Linked DNA regions of Arabidopsis thaliana. The protein of the gene in region 3 interacts with the protein of the main gene of each other region in a pairwise test. Each region holds a gene or a part of one and is shown on either strand. Other genes may lie near its edges.

Region 1 (7,068 bases), on a different chromosome or scaffold from region 3:
GAAAACATAGCGATTGTCAACCATGAAAAACGTCAGAAATTCGTTGGAAACAAGCTTTTGTTCCAAATTCATTAGTATCATGATTAGTCTGTTAACAGTTTTGCACTTTCCTTGGTGTAGCTCTCTCGCTGATAACCAAATTGTGGATTGCATCGATCATCTTGCCGAGATAAGCTCGGTCTCACATTGAGATAAGTGAATCCTTTACATGTGTTCCTCCGAATCCGTTTAGCTTTCTTTTTCATTCTAAATCGAATCGAGTAACAAAATGAGAGGTGTCAAAATTTCGATCCAAGGTTCTTCCGCATATATCATTACAACAATCTAACTTGAATACCATAGTTTAAGCAATTAAAGTCAAATACATGTGGTGCTTTATATTATCGGTTATATTTTCTTCTTGCACTAAATTTTCAAATCGTCGATTAGAGCTGAAGACATAATGATAAGGCCAATGCTTCGAATCAAATAATGCGAGTGAATTGTTTGCACGTATCTACGATTCGCTTCCATTTCATGGACTATTTTTTTGTGTGTCTAACATTAATTTACGAATTACATCGCGAAACAAATTGCTACAAACAAAGTAAATGGCTTTAACTATAGATTCTTATTTTGACAAAAAAAAAAAAAAAACTATAGTGTATTAAATAAAAAAAACGAGGGACCACACGCAAAACACCGATTCTAACTTTGAAAGAATAGTAAATGCCAACCAATGGCCAGTTGTAGTGGACGAACTCTGTCTTAATTACATCGTGAATATTTAATTGCATGCGAGTGTGGTTTATAGTATTATTGATATTTTCTTTGTTTATTTAGTTAATTATTATGGGTTTGTTAACAAGTCTAATTCAACTACTTCTTTTCAAGCTTTATTCCTCTTGGAAAAAAAAACTGCCCAAAAGATAAAATAGAAATTGACTTGTAAAATAACATAAAATAGACATTGACTTGTAATGAGATGAAAATAGAGTTAAAAATCATGATTTTCACAATTAAAATATGAAAAGATACAGGTAAAGTTAGGTTGTAGGGATTAACTCAATGTGGATCATGTAGGTCATGGTGTTATTTGTTAGGCTTTCATTCATAAATTTGTTTTTGAAAAAAAAAACAGTGAAATAAATGAAACTGATAGATGGAAGCTAAATTAAGTGAACTAACACAACTTATGTTACATTAAGTTTAGTTACACTGAATCGGTAGAACACATGATGTGTGTGGGACTGAAATGCTAATTTTCCGGAGATTTGGTTTGGTAAAGTTAAATACGAGAAGAAAAGAAATTAGAGTTGGAGAAACAAAAACAAGAACAAAAGAGAAAAAGCCGAACAACGTGCCGTTTTTGGGGTCCATTGGAAGACAAAAAACAACAACGTGTTCTCCGCCTACAACACAAAAACATGTGTTTGTAATTCACGTGTTGTTTTTACGTTCTTTCTTTGACCATTGTCTTCTTCCTCTTTTCACAAACTCAATCTTTTGTTTTATTTTTCTTATCCTTTTATCGGCTTATCCATGTCGGTAATCATTATCACCGCACATATTTGTTTTTGCTTGTTTCTTATATGTACATAAAATGTATATGTTCAATTTAATTTGCACATCATTTCACTCTTGTTAATATGTAATTCATCGAAAATTATGGTTCTTAATCCATGTCAACATTGTCACAATTAACAACATTGTTAGGATATATATGTCAACCACAGCCAAAATTCTAAGTGGTTTGTATTGGTCTCAATGTCTAACCAGACTGAATGTGAAAAACACGAAAATGAATAGATTTAACGAGATTTTAACTAGTAGACAAAATAAAAACATATCTTACGTTTGCATGAAAACAGATTGAGAATTTGAGATCCAAGACCAAAACTAATTAAACTACACATGTGAACAAATAATATATTTTGGGCTATTCGGGTTTGTGTCCGGCCCAATGGTTTATGTTAGCCTGTCAAACTTGAGGACTTTGTTTGTTTTTCTCCTTTTTCCTAAGAAAACTCTCTTTATGGTTGAACTTGTTTTCTCGATCAACTTCTCTTGTACCTTCGTTCCACTTTAAAACAATATTGGCCGTGTGACTCTTTGACCAGGATCACTTGTCATGTCGATTTCTTTCACGTTGCATCTCAATATGAACTTCATGTATGTTGGAGTTGTGAATTGAAATTCATCAAAACAAGGAATCTTTGATTCAGATTGAGTCAATCTCTTCCAAGCACTGTGTTGGTATTGTACTGTAGAGAAATTTGCAGGATCTTGAAACATATGACAAGATATATAACGAACCGATTATTAGATTAATTTCGGCCAATGCTCGAATCATACAAGTAATCATAAGCCACAATGAGTTTAGCTTTGTTCACTAAGTTAGAAAGAATAAATAAATGAATGGATCAAGTTAAACAAAAGAACTAAATCATATAAAACCTCCAAATTTCTAACGTTTATCATATATCTAAAATCTTCTAAGATGCCTCTCTTTTCTATATGAACTGGCGTAAAGGGATCAACATCACACTGATATCATCAGACGAGCCTCGTGAAGCAGATAAATCGACAAGCTTCTTACAGGCAGCTAACAACAATGGCTTCTCGGTTCCTAAGCAGAGAGGACGAGCAATGTCTACTGCTTCTTGGTTACTCACTTTATCCCATAAACCATCAGATGCCAAGATCAAAAACTCATGGTCATGCTCGATTCTCGAAATCTTTGTCTCTGGTTCAGCTATAACCCATTTCTTAAGTTGAGCATCTCCAATTCCTCTTGACACAGCTAAAGATCCCTGGATTCTCCAAACACCGTGAAACGTATCAACATATCCTCCCGTGGTTTCAATTCTTTTCCGTTCATCGTCTCTAGACGGGCGGTGATCAGAAGATAAAGCCTTAGCTACACCTCCTACACTCATAACAGCACGACAGTCACCGGCGTTAGACACAACAAGGTTCCCTTCGTTAACCAGAGCCGTGACACAGCATGAACCACCCTTAACGTCTTCCTCCTTAAGAAACGACGCGTCTGTTGCCAAGTAACCATGTTTCACCGCTTCAGCTATCTCAGACTCGTCTCTCTTACCAACTACTTCTTCTACAATGTTCTTATCTAAGTTCTTAGCTGCAAACTCAGCCGCTTTAACTCCTCCATGACCATCATAGACTCCGAAAATCGCCTGAGAAATTATCACAAAGCAAAACAACGTTTAGAATACACGATTCATCAATAAGCACACAATTGTTTCATATGATTCTGTAAAACTTCTAATTCTATTCAGAATTTCAATTTTCCCCAAAGAACCCTAATTTTAGATAGCTTATTAACCCAATCAATGTAGATCTCACATGATAAACCCTAATTTGAGCTGTAATTGCTAATCAATCGAATCAAAATCACCAATTCAATTCAATTCTAAACCAAAACTGAAAAATGAATTTGAAATTTAAAATTACCTGTTTACGATCTCCATGAAGATTGGTGATAGCAGAGAAACGATCCTCCATAGCTTCTCTTCTTCCTCTCTTACAATAAACAGAATAACCATCACCTTCTCTCTCAACCTCTCTACACTCCTCTCTCGGCGTCGCAGCCACAGCGGCCGATGAAGAAATCGGAGCTACAAATCCAGCAACACCAATCGGTATATCAAGCCTTGTAGGTCGTTTCCTCTTTAAAACACCTCCCGGAGGAGAGGATGCAGAAACAGATTCAGATCCAAAAGATAATGGACCAGGAGCGAATCCGGACGGAGGTTTCTGGAAACGGAGACGAAATGGAGATTTAGGAGAAGAAACGGTGGTGGATGGAGAGGAAGGAGAAGAGGTCTGAGGTTTGCGATGAGAAAGCGTTAGAGAAAGAGATTCTTGCGGTGACGAGAGAATCGAAGATTTGTTGCAGAATAGAGAAGACGACGGTGAAAACACCGGAGAATTACATACGGCGACGGAGCAAGACATCGTTTCTATATTTTGATTTCGATTTCGATGAGTAGAGATTTGTTTTTGCTGAGATTATTGTTTTTGTTTCTTCTCCTTCTGTTTTTTTTTTGTTGTGACGATGTACAGAGAGAGAAGAAGAAGGTTTTTAAATATAAAGGAAAGAAGAAGGTAATGAATATTGAATGAATTAGAGTCCGTGTTTATCGAGCTTTATTCAAAGTTTTTCAGTCTCTTTGACTTTGTAAATAACATTTATGCCCTTACAACTTTCATTTCCTTTATTTATGTTGTCCTTTTACTTTCTACAAAATGGATATTATTTTGAGGAAAACAAAATTAGCTTGAATCCTACTCTTGTTGACCAGTTTTTTTTTGTTGGCAAAATAAAGGAAAATATCATTTTTTCTTAATAATGAAAAATGTATATATCCATGAGATTTTTTATTCCAATATTTTTTCATAACCAAAATAAGAATCATTCAATTTTTGGTAACTTTATGTCAATTTAATAATAAAAACAAATTATGTCTAGTAGACTAGAACTATCATAAACAAAAAGAGGAGTATTGCAAATAAGAAGAAAGGCCCTTTGTAACGTAGAATAAAATTCAATAAAACACAGCAGATAGTACAAAAGAGAATGTTGGAGGGTAAAACGGTCATTCACAGTCTAAAATAGCTAAAACGATGAAGTAAGCGATTTATTGGGTTTGCTCTGTGAGGTTAAAACAGACATTTCAAATGAAGTCAAAAACACGTCTAAAAGGAAACGAATGCTAATAATTGGGCATGTGGGTAACGTATCTGTGTTAAAGAAGTGTTTCATTGATGACTCACTTTTTTTTTCTTCTCCTTTTTAAATTAAATGAAAAATAGAATCTTAAAGAATTTAAAACGACCGTTAGGTTCTATACGTCGTCGTTTTCATTGGATGAGTATTTTTGCTTGTCGTAGTCGCAGCTTCTAAGCAAGTGACCGTTGAGAGCCTGAAGAGGAGCCTTCGTTTTGTTTGTTTCCATTTGATGACCGTTGTGAATTTGTCAAAAAGTCTAATACATAAAGTTGTAATTGATCTCGTTTCACACGAGGTCTTCTTATTATTAAAATACAAGTCTTCTTCTTATTAAGAGAGTGTTAATTTTTTGAGTAATTTGTGACATCATTAACTGATAGTTTTGTCTTTTAAACGGTATTTGATATTCTAGAGTTGAAAAGGAATTGCAATGTTCTAGAGTTGAAGAAAAATCCATTAGAAAGTTTTTGTTAATGTTGTGAATTGTGATAGGGATGAATAGTAAACAAAGAAAAATCAGTTTTTGCAATATTATAAGACCAAAATTTCCTTATTAATAAGTATTTGCATATGATAAGACCAAAAATTTTACGTCTTATTATATTGTCATGCGATTAATGTTCCACTATTAAGCACTTTTAGAGAATGTTTTTCCGTTTGAGGCAGTTTATAGGAAATAGACACTTTTTCTATTAATTCTTTTTTTTTAAAGACTTTTTTACCCTCAATTCAATATTTATGTTTTTAATTCTTAATTTCTCTTTTTTGTTATTCCTCTTCCACGATCCTTACCCAAAATAAATAAAATCTCTCTCTCTCTCTCTCCATGATTTGTAGCGCCTCTCTCTCTCTCTCTCCACGTCTCCATAACTTTTGGAGAAGTTTCTTAAACAATTTGATCTCGATTATCTCAGGAATTTGGTAAAAGTTCTATGTCCATAAGGTATTGGAGGTGGGGTCTCTGCAAATTGTAAGAAAAATCAACAAACAATTTTTTGGTGTCCATAATAACGAGTCCATTTAAATATATCCATTCAGAAAACCTTTTACTGATTCATATTCATTCTATATACCATGTCCATATAACAGGAGATTCGATTAACCGTGGTTTGTAAAGAAACCAAAGTTCCATGTCCATAAGGTCTTGGAAGTGGAGGTCTCTTCAAACTGAAAGAAAAATCAACAAACAATGTTTTGGTGTCCATAATAACGAATCCATTTAAATATATCCATTCAAAAACCTTTCTACTTATCTATATTCATTCTATATACCATGTCAATAATAACAGGAGATTCGATTAACCGTGTTTTGTAAAGAAACCAAAGTTCCATGTCCATAAGGTTTTGAAGGTAGAGGTCTCTGCAAACCGAAAGAAAAATCAACAAACAATGGTTTGGTGTCCATAATAACGAGTCCATTTAAATATATCCATTCGGAAACCTTTTTACTGTTCTATATCCATTTTGTATATCATGTCCATAATAACAGGAAATTCGATTAACCGGAATCTCGATGCTACATAGATGAAACGAGTTTGACACATGAGAGAGAGCAAAAATCAAATCAAGCCGCCATTGTTGAAGAAGAAGATGTTTCTTAGATAATTGAATCTCAAATTTATATCAAAACAAATATTTAAATTGCAAAATAAATTACAATCTTAAAGAAACCAAGACCTCATATTCTCTAATTAGTCCAGAGAAAAAAGAAAGCCATCGCGTAGAGTGGATTTGGAGATTAATTGCAGATTTGGAATTGAAGATATTCTGGGAAATGTTTTTTTCTTCGATAAAGTGAGAAAAAAAAAAAATAGAGAAGAGATGGGAAAAGGAGAGAGAAGAAATGACCGATGGAAAAAATGTAGTTAAAGGGTAAATAAGTAAAATAATTTATCTAAAGTGACTTCTCCATTTAAAGTGCCTAATTAGGAACAAACTTTTAAAAAAGTGTCTAATCACGTAATATTCTCTACTACTAATTCATACCAAAAAAAAATGTTTGCTTTTTATCCTAGTACATAAGTTATTTAAATATTTTCGAATTATCTGATTAAATGACCTCAAAAACCGAAAAGAAAGAAAAAAAACTAATTTAGAAATATAGTGTAATTTTTCTCTTTCACCACTAAAACAAAATCTTATTTGTTCACTGTACACTTAAATACTTTTTGCGTCTTCTCTTTAAGAATACATTTTTAAAAAAGTATTGAAATGTGATTTTCATTTTTGTAGAGAATAATCATAGGCATATATATATCTCTATATACATAAACTCCGTTAGAAACAAGCGAGACCAAAATAAAACTATTACTTTCGACATGTGATGGCATTTC
Region 2 (6,760 bases), on a different chromosome or scaffold from region 3:
TAAGCCCAAGATGTCAGCAAATACTGAGATGTAACCAGAAAACAGACAAAAATCATAAGATTCGAGCTGTCTGAAGGTTATCACCTGAAGTCCTGAAGTATCACAGGGCGGGTAGACCCGTGTAATCCGTTCTGGAATTCTCCAAAGCACTTCGATATGGGACTTAGTCCACGAAGAGTTAACCATAGCTAAATGAGTACATGACCCAACCATCCCATACATCCAGCTAAAAGCTCTGTAATAGACTAATTTGCAAGTAGATAACCAATTGCTACACAAAAAAAGCAACAAACATCATTACACTAAACAAAGAAATAGAAACTTTTCACTTTTGAAAAACACCAAATAAGCAAGGAGATAACCAAAACCTCTTAGCAATGGAAGCATCATTGTTATACATAGAGTTCCTCTGACGAACACGAGAAATCATATCCAAACTAATAGTTGGATAATGAGTATAGCAAACAACTTTGCAACCAAAGATCCGAGCAAGAGGATATGTAAACGCATATCCACTAGTGTCAAGGAAATACAAAGGAGTGAACATGCGTAATGCTTCCCACGCTAAGTAAACCGAACCAAGACTCTGACCTATCATTGTAAAATGTGGGTAAGTACTCTCTTCAATCCATTTCCTTTTGTTTAGATGAATCACCTAAAGCCACACAACAACAACCAACAAAAGCACAAAACTTGCATCAAAACTAACCCAAATTGCAAAATTGAAACTTGCCCTCAAATCTGAGAGGTTCTGTGTTATTAGAACCAATTCAAATTGATAAAAATTTAAACTTTAGGAGTAATGGGACCTTAGGAGGAGACTGAAGGTGAACACCGAATCGATCAACGGCGCGACGAGCTAAGCTATCAGAAGAAGAGTCATGATCTCCGGTGAAGATGACACAGTCAAGATCGGGATTTTCCTCTTGAATGGCTTTAACGGCGCACCAGAGCACTCTCTCGCCGCCGCCACCGTCGTTCGTGTACGGATGGAAGAATCCTACCGCACGTTTTCTGCTCTTTCTTGCATTGATCACGGAAAGAAATAAACTCAGAGATACGGCGAAGATGATCGTGAGAAGTGTATAGAGAATGAAGTAGATCGCCATTGGAAGCAGATCGCTGAGCGAAAATTTACAAGTCCGACACTTTTTATTTTTAGTTTCAATCGTCTTAAATCGTGTTTCTGAATATTGTAGAAAACACACCAAACTATGAATATATTACAGTTGTACCCCTTGTATCTTGATTAGTTAAATAATTGGGGGTTAACTACCAAAATTGATGATAATGTCCTTTCATCACCTCCTCTAAAATTTAAATGGTGTGAATTATTAATTTATAGAGAGTTTTTACTAATTTTAAAAAATTTACATTGTTCTTAATGTGATTATTGTCTTTGTCCAGGATCTTGCAGCAAGAATTTTTTATTTTTTTGTCTACATCCAATTTTCATTTCTTCAATACCTTTTTCTACAAAAAGTTTGATGAATTGTAAGGTAGTATTTCATCTCATGTAATCATGAGAAAATATTTCTTGCATTCTCATGATTCACAATTTATCTTAGTTACTTACGTTGATATATTGGTTCATCTATGTTTTCTCAGAACTACAAGAAAACAACTCATATTGGTGTGTTTCTAACCATTTTCCGACTAATATTTTGGTCAGAATGATATGATTATGTGAAGAACCTCACACCAATGTCAATGCTAATTTATATTTTATAAACTCTCCCTTCCCTTTTTAAATAAACTTTTGTTTGTAAGAAGCATTACAAAACCTTAGCATGTGATCTTGTTCATTATTCTGAGTTGTTGGAAGAGGCGGAGGTGTTTATAGGTTCAAAGTGTTTACCGGTCCTTACAACAAAAACTCACGTATGCTTGGTTACCATGCAGTTACTAATATGGTTGATGTTTGTTTTATTGAAGGCAGATGGGTAGAAATCTGTAAAATGAGTAACGACGAAGATGTTGCTTGTCAAGGTTATGTCTACGTGTGTATATCAACCATGTACATCTTTGTTGGTTTTACACATAAAAGCAGAAATATGATTAGAATGTGGTTTTCAAAATGCATGAGAATAAAAAAGTTGAGGATAAAAAGGATGATAAATGGTTAGATAGTGCAATTTCATGTATTATGTAGTGTTTATATCGTAAACCAAAAATATTTTGGAGCTTATCTCTAAGAACAATAACAATAAATTAATTATTTTCCAAACCTTTATGTATTTACATGTAAAATACCGAACAAAATTTATTAATAACTACGACCTAATGAAATTAATTAAGTTTAGCTAATGTACTATGTGTTAATATATCATGGAAGAAAGTTTTGTAGCTGAATTATAATTAGACTTATATCATCCAAAGAGCCTCTCTTAACCGATAGCTCAGCCAGTTTCTTGCAAGCAGAAAGTGTCATTGGATTCTCTACGCCTACGCAGTACGGTCGAACGACATCGACGGCCTCTTGGTTCGTTACCTATAGGACAAACCAGCTTCAACATTAAATCCAAAGACCAAAAATGAAAATCAAATTTTTGAAATCATGCATTTCTTGTTATGCTTACCTTGTCCCACAGGCCATCAGATGCTAAGATCAAGAATTCGAACTCCGGTTTAATCCGTAATGTTCTGGTTTCCGGTTCAGCTATCACCCACTCCTTGAGGTACCGGTCTCCAATTCCTCGTGAGACTGCTAATGTCCCTTGAATTCTCCAAACGCCGTTGCAGCAGTCAACATAACCACCCTACACACATTCAAAAATAAGTAAACCAAACACAAATTAAACCAAACCGCACTAAAACATTATTTTGAACGCAAAATGGTAGAATGATTCTCCAATTTGCAAAAATTTTATCAACCGCATTTTTACTAGAGTCGCTTTTTCCACGAATTCAATGATTTTTTTTTTTTGAAATGCAATTCCACAATTATGTGATGTTACTAATCAAAATCCAATGCACAAGGATAAAACTCACCAATGCTTCAATCCTTTTGAGCTCATTTGCTTGAGAAGGATTATGATCGGAAGTGAGAGCTTCCGCGGTTCCACCACGACTCATAACAGCCCGGCAGTCGCCTGCATTCGAAACCGCAAGCTCGCCTTTCGATATCAAAGCGGTTACACAACACGCGCCACCTCTCGAACCTTCTTTCAAGAAATCCTCATCCGTTTTGATATAACCTTCTCTTATCGCACTCTCCATCGAACAACCATCTTCTCCTGATCTCGCCGATGCCATTGCCGCCTCGATATTGTTCCCTAGATTCATCGCAGCGAATTCCGCCGCCTTGGATCCGCCGTGACCATCAAATACCCCAAAGAAAGCATTTTTGTAACCTCCGTCGTCGTTACGATCAACGGCCGCGAAATACCTATCTTCCATTGGTCCGCGTCTTCCTCTCTTGCAATAAACAGAGTAGTATCCATCTTCTTCTGCTTCAACAACTTCCGCTCCTTTCTCCGCCGTCTCTCTCGTCGTACTGCACCACGATGCAACCGTCGGAGCCGCCGTTAAGTCAAGCATCGGTGGTCGTTTCCTTTTCAACACCGTTTCAGAATCAGAACCCGTAGTCTTCGTCTCCTTTGGCTTTCTTGGAGGACAAGCAACCATCGTCAGCTTCGGTGGCGACGAACGAGGAGAAGACAACGGCGTTTTGACCGACGTCGGAGAGAAAACAAGCGGAGGTGGGAAAAAAACCGGAGATTCAGGAGCCATGATTACAGATCTCTTCATGGTGAAATCGTCGGTGTAATTCTTCTCTCGATTTCTCGTTTGTTTGATCGGATTCTTTGAGAGTTGCATATAAGAGAAAATATGAATAAATAGGGTTGGTCTTTTTGTTGTTGTTGTTGTGTTAATATAATTTCTTGTTGTTTACGTCTGAGAAAGCAAGGACCTTGTGAATAGGGGAACAATAGTGGGCGGTTGGATTTTTATATATATGACTGACTAAGTTATGGTCAATGGTCAACGACGATTATTTCTCTCTCTTTCATGCTAATTAACACCTTCGTGACCAAGTCTCTCTTTCTTTCTCTCTCGTAATTTAGTCAAATTCACGTCGGTGCCCAAATTACCTTTCTCTATAATTTGTTTTTTCTAGTGGTTATTAAATTGCCATAACGAGAGATTTGAATAGAAGGTTGGACTCGGTGATCACGTGAAATCTTTTACCTTAGAATAAGTGATCTATATTATGCGCCGTCCATTGAATACAACTGTATTAGGGCATTCTTTAGTTTTCTTTGAAATGGAACTATATGTGAAGTTATATATTTATCATTATCAAGTTTAGTTTATACCTTCTCAACAAAGAAAAAAAAGAAGTTAATTTTACACGCTAGAAAAAATTGCATAATACTAAGAATTTAGACGAAAAAAGGATAAGTACTAAGAATTAATAAGGGAACTAGTTATTTCTGGTCTTCATACCTAATTTGATCAACTATGGAAAATGCATGTATCAAATTTATTAGAATCTTATGCACGTATCAAAAAAATTAGAATCGTATCATTTAGATTCTTGCATTCATTACTAATTTAATCTCGAAGTAGAAACCATCAAACCTTATATAAGTTAGTCAATGTTAGTCTATGGATAACTATTCAAAAGTTTAATATGAATAATTAAGTAAACTAATGGTTCAAACTTTTGATGGGATGGTACTATATTGGTGAATCCGAGTCAATAGATTCGAATAAGGAATTAGACTTGAAACATATGCCTTTCAGAAAATCTATCTATTTAGAGGAGGAATTAGGTATTGAAATAAATTATTATTTATAGTTAGTATATGAAGGTTGTTAATTCACTCCCGCATCGTTTTCAAACGTCATAATTAGAAAAAGTCAAAAAAAAATCTGAAGACCTGGCAAAATTTAGTGAATTCATTTAAGGAAAGAAGAACAACTAAATCTTTGATTTAAAGAATCGTACGCTGTTTAAAATTGATGTAACCATACGCAAGTGTGAAGTGTGTATGTAATAATGATGTATAGATGATTGGAGTTGGGGAACTATTGACCCTAATTCGTCTTAGGAACACAAATAACTTGCCTCGTAAGAATCACTCTCGTGTCGCCCTTTTTTGACTTGGCAAGCCAATTTGTCATGCTCGTAGATTGTAGTTCAAATTTTTGTGTTTACAATACAAATAAAAATATTAAAAAAACATTAAAAAAAATTACACACATTTAGCTATAACATTGACGTAGTCACGTAGTATTGAGAGAGAACCGTTGAGGACAACATAAATTCATTCACAAAACGAATCAAAAGAAGCAACAAGGATATATAACGTTGATAACTCAAATATTGCAGACACATTCAAGCAATATGGAATGCTACACAAAATAAGTGTGATAGTCAAAACCAGGGGCAGCGATCCTCAAATTTTTTTTTTTTTTTTAAAGAGTCCAAAATAATAGAATTAGGAGCTAAAATTCAGAGATATAGCATTTGAATCTTTTCAAAGTTGAGAGTAAAAAAAGTTTGTTATATTTATTTTTTCAACAATAAGACTTAATGTACGCTTTCAAATTGTAATTTGATTTCTAAAATGAATATTTGCATATGAATCTGCTTAAAGTCGATGCCACGTATTCAATCAATTTGATCGGAACTGAACTTGATATATGGACCACCTAACGTCAACGAATTTTGACCAGCAATTTATACACCTAACCGTAAGGCACAAATTCAATGACGATTACCAACATTTCCAATCATGAATCCATCCGGGATTTCTTCCTCAGGTATTCATATTTACTTTCATACAGTATAGTCAAATGATTGAAAGATTTTATGAATACAAAGGCAACACACAAAATAATTGCGGCGGTATAGTTAAAGAACACGCGGCGAAGAAGTACGGCCACTACCACGTTCAAAGTATACGTCAGCTAATAAAGTCAGACACGTGGCATGTCACCAAGAAAGAAGAGCATACGTATGACGTACCGATTGTCCCTGAGTCACCACGTCGAACATCCACGATGCAACACAACCAAAACGCCCTCCGGATTGAACTCGCTATATATAGAGCGAGCTACTATAGTCTTCTTCGTATATCATCATCAAGTCGTTGCGAGTTTGTTTGGTTTTTACTTGTCTAGTGTTTTATATAAACTTGTGTTGTGTAAGTAACTAAAGAGCCATGGCGTCTCAACAAGAGAAGAAGCAGCTGGATGAGAGGGCAAAGAAGGGCGAGACCGTCGTGCCAGGTGGTACGGGAGGCAAAAGCTTCGAAGCTCAACAGCATCTCGCTGAAGGTCATTCTTTCTCTTATTCATGGTTGCGTATGTTTCAAGTTAGGTCTTTAGGCTAGAGTAACGAGATTAATGTTTGTGGAATATTTATTATATGAAGGGAGGAGCCGAGGAGGGCAAACTCGAAAGGAGCAGTTAGGAACTGAAGGATATCAGCAGATGGGACGCAAAGGTGGTCTTAGCACCGGAGACAAGCCTGGTGGGGAACACGCTGAGGAGGAAGGAGTCGAGATAGACGAATCCAAATTCAGGACCAAGACCTAAATCAAACTTCCCCACACGGATGTAATATTAATCCGGTTTAAATCTTTCCATGTAGTTATATCTTGTGTAGTTTCCTGTGCGTACTTAAGTTCTTGTTTAGTTTACGGATGGTGATGACCATGTGTATGTTTTCGTCTACGTAAAGTGTCTCGTTTGTTTTCCAGTACCAATTTCTCTTCTTTAGTAAGAAGTTAATGATTGTGGATTCTCA
Region 3 (8,524 bases):
TCGATTCGATAAATGTTGGGGGCAAAACAGAGAGATGAGCAAAACATGGGATCCCGATAAATAAATAAAGACAACTCTTGTCCTTGTATAAATAGACTTGCATCTTCAAGATATATATGTACAAGTCTCTTTACACCTAACAAGACACAGTACTAAATCATTTGCAGCTTCTTACAATGTCGCGACCAATCTCGCTTGAAGGTGAAAACATAACTTATGTTGTGTCTGATGATCTCTTAGTATCATTATGAGTTCCAAGTTTTAATAATTTTCTCATTCTTGACAGAAATGGTGAGACTGTTCAAAGTACGTCACGCAACAGCTCACATGTTCAAGATAGACCATTTCTCTTTACTCAGAAAGCATGGAATCGAAAAGGTCGAGTCCTCTGTTTTCGATCTCGCTGGTCACAAATGGTGAAGTTGTTTATAATCTTGTTATTATGCTTATTGACATACAAAAGAAAACAAAGATGGTGATCATCCTCTTAACGACTTGATTGGTAACAGGAAACTCTCTGTGCACCCAAATGGCCATACAAATGCTAAGGGGACACATTATGTCTCCCTCTACTTAATGAATCAAGCTCCGGTATATGATACGCTTACATATGAGCTTCTTGCCGTCAGTCAACTTGAGCCAAAATGGCACACTCACGGTCTCTCTCACTCTCTCTCTCTCTCTCTCTTGCTTCATTCAATCACGCATACATCTGTGTGTATATAGGTTTGATACGGCGTCCATATATGTTGATGTGCAGGAAGAGATGAATACGAAACCAATGAAGAACTGGGTAGTGAGGGGTTTCGTGAGTTCATATCTCTTGTTGATCTTAAGAAAAATGGTTTCCTTATTGGAGATTGTTGTATGTTTGGTGTCAAGTTCCATGGGATTGAACCTGCTAAACCCGGAACAGCGGAAAGTTTTAGCTTAATAGAGAAGCCTCTTAATCACAGAGTCACTTGGATGATGACCATGTTCTCGTCCTTCAACCCTGGAAACGTTCATCAGTCTAATGAATTTGTCGTTGGAACCCGGAAATGGTTGATATTATATTCCTCCTTTTTCCCAAAAACATAACACAACTTATATATAATACTAATAAAAATGCATCACAATATATTTGATCAGGAGAATTAAAGTTCATCCAAGAGGGTCTATGGGTGAAAAAGACAAATCATTTTCTGTGTATCTATCGGCACTAGGGTTTGTCAATAATGCACCAAAGACTAAAACTTACGCGAGGTTCAAGCTGCGTGTATTGGATCAAGTTAGCAGGAATCATGTTGAGAAAACAAGTATGTGTTTATTATGTTTTGGAAAGTCTTGTGATGCATGATGGTTAAATACAGTACTAATCTTTTTCTCCTGGTACGTATAGTTTCGGGTTGGCTTGGTGCAGAACCTGATGACCGCCATGGCTTTGCGGATTTCATGCCTCTAGGGGAACTTGATGACCCTTATTTGGTGAAGGATAAGCTTTATGTGGGAGTTGACTTTGATGTCATTTCCGTCTCTAATTACTGTTAGCTATATAATCAGCAAGAAATATTTATAACGTATGAATAAAATGCTGGAGAATATATATAGTACTATTATGTAACTAAGCTACTGATGCCGTAATGACTTGTGATGTGTGTCGACGTACGTGTTGCTGGAGATGAAGATGATGTGCTTGGCGTGTATTTTCAGTTTATGGGCATAACAAGACAATCTACAAGATTTCATAAGCCCAGTTTATCAACTATAGAGACTTGGTTCTCAATCGTTATTGTTTCTTGTTAGTTTTGTTTTGCAAATAAGATCTTGTTTTTTTTTCAAGGAATCGTGAGCATTCCATTGCTTTTACTACCTATATATATGAGAAAAACGCCAAAAGAAAAGACATAATTTGTTTGCCAAAAGAAACTTGTGTTCCACGTTGGGGATTCTTTGATCTTCGAACACAATCACAACCTCAACGACGTCACTCAAGTCTCCGGCGCTTTGGAATACGAGTTCTGCGACTCTTCTTCTCCTAAAGCCGTCTACAACCCTGGACACGATATCGTAACCCTCACGGAACCAGGTTTTCACTAGTTCATCAGCTCAAACCATGCTCAATGCGCATCGGGACAGAAGCTCGACATTCTTGTCGTTCATGACTCGTCACGTCCCATTCCTCCAACACCACCGAGCAAGATCCTTCCTCCTTGAAATATCTACAGAGTTGGTGTGGCTCCAAGGGATGGAGTGTTCCGCAAGAAAGTTACTTTTATTACAGATGGAGTGAGAAGACGCAGTTTCCGATCGGAGACAGTCTTCTTTTCGAATACGACAACGAAGTCAACGACGTCTTAGAGATCAGCGGGGACCTTGAATTCATATCCTGCTACCCGATTTCTCCCGTAGCCGTGCACATGACAGGCCACGATCTCGTCACGCTCACAGAACCAGGAGTCCATTATTTCATTAGCTCTAAGACTCCAGGTCACTGTTACGCTGGGCTTAAGCTACGAGTCGTGGTCGGACCACTCACCAAAGCCGTACCTGTCCCCAATGTTCCGACGAAGAAGATAGAGTTGTCACTTATGGACCGCTTCAACAGATGGTTACGCACCTTCGGACCTCAACCCCATCATTAAGATAATTAGTGGATGTAATTAGAGTTAAGACTTCTCTGTATTTTCTTTCGACTAAAAAGTAAGGAAATTTAAATACACTCTATTGCAAAACACAGCTCAAAGGTTGTTCTTTTCTTTTTTTCCAATTTTTTAGGATGTTATTCAAATTACAGACATATTATCAAACTTATCAGAGATTTGATAACAAAAGCAGAGCAAAACAAAACATAGCATTTTGATGAGTTTCCTTTTAAGGATATATATCTCTCTCTCTTTCTCTCACACTGAGTCTTGAGGATTGAACTTGACTGTTTCACGGTATATAAGCTCCTTAATGTTCTCTTCTGTCAAAGTAGGTTGCTCGAAATCAAAATTGAACGGCCTCACACATACCGGTTCTTCGTTGATATCATGCAGCGGCGCCAAATATGGGTGGCACAACGCCTCATCAACTACACACACAAAAAACATGTTCAGAAAATAGCCGAAGAAACAGAGAAGCAGTTATATAAAATATAACTCACCTGTGATGCGTCTGCTTGGATCAAAAACAAGCATTTTCTCCAGCAAATCGACTGCACCAGCCGACATGTTTGGGAATCTAGCAGCAAAGTTCTGTCTAGGGTACTGTGGAAGCTGTCTAACGTATCTTCTTGCATTGTCACTTCTTAAGAATCCCAAGCTTGAGTCATCAGGAGATCCTATAAGCTGCTTTCCAAAGATTCATTAATACCGTGAAGAGAGACTAAGTGGTGATTCTTTGGATGAAACATACTAAACTAGATTACCTCAGTGATGAGTCTAAGCTGATGAACATAATCTTTACCGGGAAACAAGGGCTCTCGTGTCATTGTTTCACCGAGTATACAACCGACAGACCAAATATCAATTGCTGCTGTGTATTCAGAGCAATTAAGTAGCAGCTCTGGAGCTCGATACCAACGTGTAACAACATATTCAGTCATAAAGTCAGTCTCGGATTTGGTCCTCGCAAGCCCGAAATCCCCAAGCTTTAGATCACAATTTGCATTCAGGAGCAAATTGCTAGGTTTCAAATCTCGATGCAATACATTAGCTGAATGAACATATTTGAGCCCACGCAACAACTGATACAGAAAAAACTGCAAAACATAATCGAAACTAATTACTAAACACAACTTCAAAGCATAACAAACGAAATCCTTATTAGCTCTCACTTATAAAGTATCAAGCAATACTCATCAGATGCTCTAACACAATAACAGCTGCTTCTAAAGTAGAAACAGAAGATTCAGCTGCTAGATATAAGCAAGATGGAGATTGATGCATACCCGACAATGATCATCAGTTAAGGGTTGGTTAGAGCGAATAATTTGGTGGAGATCAGTGTCCATAAGCTCATAAACAATGTAAACATCATTGAAGTTCTCTCTCTGCGGTGGTTTTATTATATCCTTTACAGCAATCACCTGCACAATAAACCAATATAAGATTCACACAAAAAAAACCAGAGATGCTGATGATTAGTAACACGTACATTTTCATGATCCATATGCTTGAGAAGCTTAATCTCTCTCAAAGTCCTTTTAGCATCGATAATATTGTCAAAAGCATTACCAATCTTCTTGATAGCTACCTCCTCTCCAGTCTCTGAGTTTGTAGCAGCACTGATCAACAATTATCAACACAAGTTATTATAATAACAACAGATTCCAAAACCCTAATTCCCAAATCTAAGAACCCCAGAAGTGAACATTACATGTTTCAAAAACCCAATCTGATTAATTTTGGAACTCACCAGACAATTCCATAAGCGCCTCTACCGATAGGACGAAGAGGAGGAACATACTTTCTAGAAACTTCGAAGAGATTGCCATAGACATTATACTGAACATAGCTACCACCATGAGTAGCCACTCCTTTGCTGCTGCTTTGATCACCCGAGCTTCCGAAACAACTCTCCGCCGACATCGGAGCAAAATTCCTCACAACAACGAAAACGAAGAACCCTAGAGAAATTGAGGAATCGAGAAGATGGGTGTTGACATTTCGTTATAAAGTCTCTACCTTTACCCTTTTTTTTTTATTGAACGGTAAAGAGGAAGTCTCCTCTCGAGTCACCCGTGACCCTTAAACCGGGTTTGCGTCTTCTTCTTTGGTTTTTGTTCTTTTTCTTTGTAATGTCAATTTTCAATTTTGTTTATGGTATCGAGTTGGGTATATCCGATGATTGTGTCTCTAAGTAATTGAGGAACGGGTAAGTGTTTTTAGTCAATTGGTTAAGTTTTGTTTACTGGAGTTTGCTTCTACTAAATCGCGTTATCCCACGAAGTAGAGATTAGATATGGTTATGACTTTTGCCGAAAAAATGTAATTGATGAAGTTTGTAGAATGGAACAAGTTAATGACTTCATGTAGGAATGTTCTTGATATCATATTATAAAGTTTAAAAGAATCTAGATGACAACTTTTCTCCAATAAGAATTTAAGTACGACTTGGTATATTGGTGGTGTACAAGTCAATGGGCGGCCAAATTGTTTTTGACCATAAAACTGACCTTTGATTCCAAAACCATTAGTGAAAAAAGGTTTATGTATAAGATAAAATGACATCATTTTGATTTTTTTTAAAAAATCATGGTTAAACAACTTATATAACCATGTTGAAGTTTGGTGCATTTGTTATTATTAATAGCTAGAATATCTGGTTTGCTTTGATTGATTGATCATGTAACCATGAAAATAACACTGATTTTTTTTGGTCTAGTGATTTACAATGGGCCTCAAGCAAACCCATCACTTATCCATTATCAACTAAGATGAACTAAAGCACAATTCTGACTAACTTGAAAATGTAGTTATAGCTTAGCACCGATTGAAAAGAGAGAGTTATCAATATTTGAAGCGTTTTAAAGTCTCATTTTTATCTGCATTTGTTATTACTTAACATCAACGATACCATAATTACATGTTTCCTCTATATTCACAAACAAGTCTTAGCTCTTTTCCTCTATATTAACACTTTTAACCATCGTTGGCAATGTCACTCCTAGCTCTTCTGCGCATTTCGTCCACAGGCTCTCCAACAATGCGTCTCGGGCAGAGATCACCATCTTCGACAAGCAACGTGTTTCCTTGGAGACTAGCTCAAACCTTTCCGAAAGTTCTATCACTGACTTCTCCAATGGTTCCACTAACAAAATAGGAACCGACCCTTCTTGTACCGCTGTGTAAAGCTTCTTCACACCGGTTTCAACAGCCTCGAGATCTTTTATAACCGTGAATCCGTCTGATAAAAATGTGTTTTTGATCTCCGGGTTAATAGTGTTCTGCAGTTCCATGAAAGCTTGAACCCATGGAAGCTCCTCCATCTCCTTTGGAATGGTTAGATAGAAGAGATTCTTGGAAGAACCCGAGAACGATGCATCAAACACGCTGAATATGTATAAAGTCTTGACCTTTACACCGTATAAAACTCGTAAGAGAACTTTTCCTTCCGCAGAGTATTTCTTCTTCCCCTTCTTGGAGATATGATGATGATGATCCATCGATTCAACCAGCCTACTCAAAACCGCGCCCCAGTTTTCGATACTCGGGTTCTTGGAAACCATGTGCTGATTCCAACGCTGAAGAATATTGCCACTGTTTGTCTCCAGCTTACTAAAAGCAAACTTTAGTAATAGATTGCCATGTTCCAAATGATATATCTCTGAGGTAAAGGCGTTGCAGAGTTCCCGCTTCAAGCTAAAGTCAGAGAAGATATAAATGAAATTCTCCTCCAAATCCGATACTGGAACCTCTAAATCCTTCACGAGCGTCCTGATACTCTTGTGTGTCTCACAAAGAGACTGCATGGCTTGTATCATCCAAGAAACACTAACGATATCATTCTTATCCTTTGGTACAAGTTCTCTAATCGATACCGTCAAGTTAGTCTCGAAATTGTTCAACAGTGAGAGAAGCTTTGGCGATAATCGAGCATTGTTCTTCTTCGTAAACAGAATCTTGAACGGGTTCCGAGAGCGTGTACGTTGTTGGCTCATATCAACTGAAAACACACAGAAAGAAGAAACAAAGTTAGTAATCTGAAACAATGAGCAAACCAATAACATTGTTCTGAATCCAAAATCCGAATCAATAGATCTCAAGAATGCAAAGACAGAACAAAAACCATTACTTTAACCAAACTCGCCGAAGATTAACGAAAACTCACCTAAAGAAAGAGATTCTTCCGAAATGTTACCGCTTACTTCAATGTTACGCTACTTCAATGAAGGAGAGAAAAAAACCCAAAAGAAAGTATAAATAGGAGATGGGTTTAGTGTATGATAATAAAACTTGAAACGCGTTCTTATAGGGAGGAATCAAAGAAACGTGCCGTGTGCTGCAGATCAACGCAATCGCTACTTTAAGTCCCGCGTTGGTTTTGGTAGTTGTAAAGGATTTTTCCGTTTCACCTACGCGGCAGTGACGAAGAATAGAGACAAATACACACGTTTACGGTTCTGATGTCTCAGTTATAGTAGATTTTTCCACTCAATCGTTGACATTTGTCAGCATAACGCTCTATAAGAAAAAGTGGTAAATATAGCCGCCGGATATTTATCAATCCAAGGGCTATAAACTTCTGGTTTCGTCTTTAAAACAATTCTTTATTTTGAGGGTATATTTGTCATTCTCACGTTGCTTTTCAAGCTTATATTACTGGGCCGCGTTGGGCTTTTATTGGGTCAAAGCGACAAGTGAGTTTGATATATTTCTTAGCGCTAAAGTAGATGAAATCTTTGGAAAGCCTTCGATGAATCTGAGAGGCAGCATATGATAGATTATATAAACAAATATAACTAATTTATATCATTGAATATATTTAAGATGTAATTTGATATTATTTATAAATTTTCTTCTTTAGTATAAAATTGAAAACAAGTATTTATACTATTAATTGGGAAGTATTTTGTGAACTACAACATTATAAGGGTAGTTTAAAATTAACTAAATGAAATTTTACATGGGTAATTTAGTAAATTAACTACTACTAAATGAATTTAGTTTCCATAAAAATCAGGCTATTGATTTCGAAATTGTATATATATAAATTTATTCAATTTTGGTAATATATTTTGAGATATTTCTGAAAAAGAAAAAATTAATTTAATATCATCATATATTTTAGATTTTAATATATTTCCTTAAGAAACTACACTAATAATTTTAAAACATTTAAAAAGATACCTTCAAGGCTTCAATCTCTTAGATAATTTTAAGGACAAAAGAAAATTTTCCAATAAAATGTAACTATTATGATATCTATGCTATTATATAATTCACTAACCCAAAAAAACCAATCTTAATTAAAACTTTTCGCAAACTTTTTACATTATTTTCCACACATCTTATTTTCAAATATTATGATAACTGATAAGTTTATGATATATATACTATTATATAATTCACTAACACAAAAAAAAAATATTAATACAAACTTTTATCAAAACCATATGATAATACTTACAACCCGCATAATGTGCGGTTCACAACATTAGCTATTGTGTCATAAATAACACTATACATTTTTTGTGTACATTATAATTTATATACTACAATATTTTTCACTAAAAAATTATTTCAATACATTTTTTAAAATATGAAATTCCGCACGTATGTGCGGGTCAGAATCTAGTTTATATTGTAATTTTATTACAAATAATTAAATTATACTATAAATATATTTTATCAATGAAAATAAGCTACCTACAATTTTATACAACTTAGAATTTGATACATACCTACAATTTTTTGAAATGGCAGCTCTAGCTCTTTCAGTAGAGAGTCCAAGTAAGGACATGAGATTTATGACATCATTTGAAGTTTAAACCTCTAAGTTGTGTGATTGGAGCACCACTTGATATAATTAGATTCTTCCTCCTAGGCCAATGCACCAT

The links.
Region 1: the proteins of MPK4 (region 3) and AT2G30020 interact in binary tests that used the Arabidopsis thaliana proteins (3 or more experiments, as listed by UniProt).
Region 2: the proteins of MPK4 (region 3) and PP2C5 interact in a two-hybrid assay, tested with the Arabidopsis thaliana proteins (one study listed by BioGRID).

The regions. Positions count from the first base shown.
Region 1 is NC_003071.7:12,811,329-12,818,396, reverse strand, and holds AT2G30020 (Protein phosphatase 2C family protein), read right to left. Parts: upstream 4,127-7,068; 5' UTR 3,961-4,126; coding exon 3,457-3,960; intron 3,180-3,456; coding exon 2,493-3,179; 3' UTR 2,037-2,492; downstream 1-2,036. UniProt on the Arabidopsis thaliana protein: Protein phosphatase that negatively regulates defense respones. Inactivates MPK4 and MPK6 MAP kinases involved in stress and defense signaling.
Region 2 is NC_003071.7:16,779,581-16,786,340, reverse strand, and holds PP2C5 (phosphatase 2C5), read right to left. Parts: upstream 3,976-6,760; 5' UTR 3,820-3,975; coding exon 2,992-3,819; intron 2,760-2,991; coding exon 2,580-2,759; intron 2,492-2,579; coding exon 2,327-2,491; 3' UTR 2,194-2,326; downstream 1-2,193. Other genes in the region: LEW3 (UDP-Glycosyltransferase superfamily protein), read right to left, coding at 85-271, 369-655, 810-1,109; GEA6 (Stress induced protein), read left to right, coding at 6,174-6,288, 6,386-6,549.
Region 3 is NC_003075.7:563,248-571,771, reverse strand, and holds MPK4 (MAP kinase 4), read right to left. Parts: upstream 4,856-8,524; 5' UTR 4,554-4,855; coding exon 4,381-4,553; intron 4,250-4,380; coding exon 4,120-4,249; intron 4,052-4,119; coding exon 3,914-4,051; intron 3,725-3,913; coding exon 3,392-3,724; intron 3,312-3,391; coding exon 3,128-3,311; intron 3,056-3,127; coding exon 2,883-3,055; 3' UTR 2,625-2,882; coding exon of another isoform or gene 2,208-2,624; 3' UTR 2,050-2,207; coding exon of another isoform or gene 1,906-2,049; 3' UTR 1,768-1,905; coding exon of another isoform or gene 1,696-1,767; 3' UTR 1,531-1,695; downstream 1-1,530. Other genes in the region: AT4G01390 (TRAF-like family protein), read left to right, coding at 177-201, 287-416, 510-658, 761-1,043, 1,132-1,298, 1,382-1,530; AT4G01380 (plastocyanin-like domain-containing protein), read left to right, coding at 1,696-1,767, 1,906-2,049, 2,208-2,624; BPS3 (BPS1-like protein), read right to left, coding at 5,579-6,625. UniProt on the Arabidopsis thaliana protein: The ANPs-MKK6-MPK4 module is involved in the regulation of plant cytokinesis during meiosis and mitosis. Essential to promote the progression of cytokinesis and for cellularization (formation of the cell plate) during male-specific meiosis.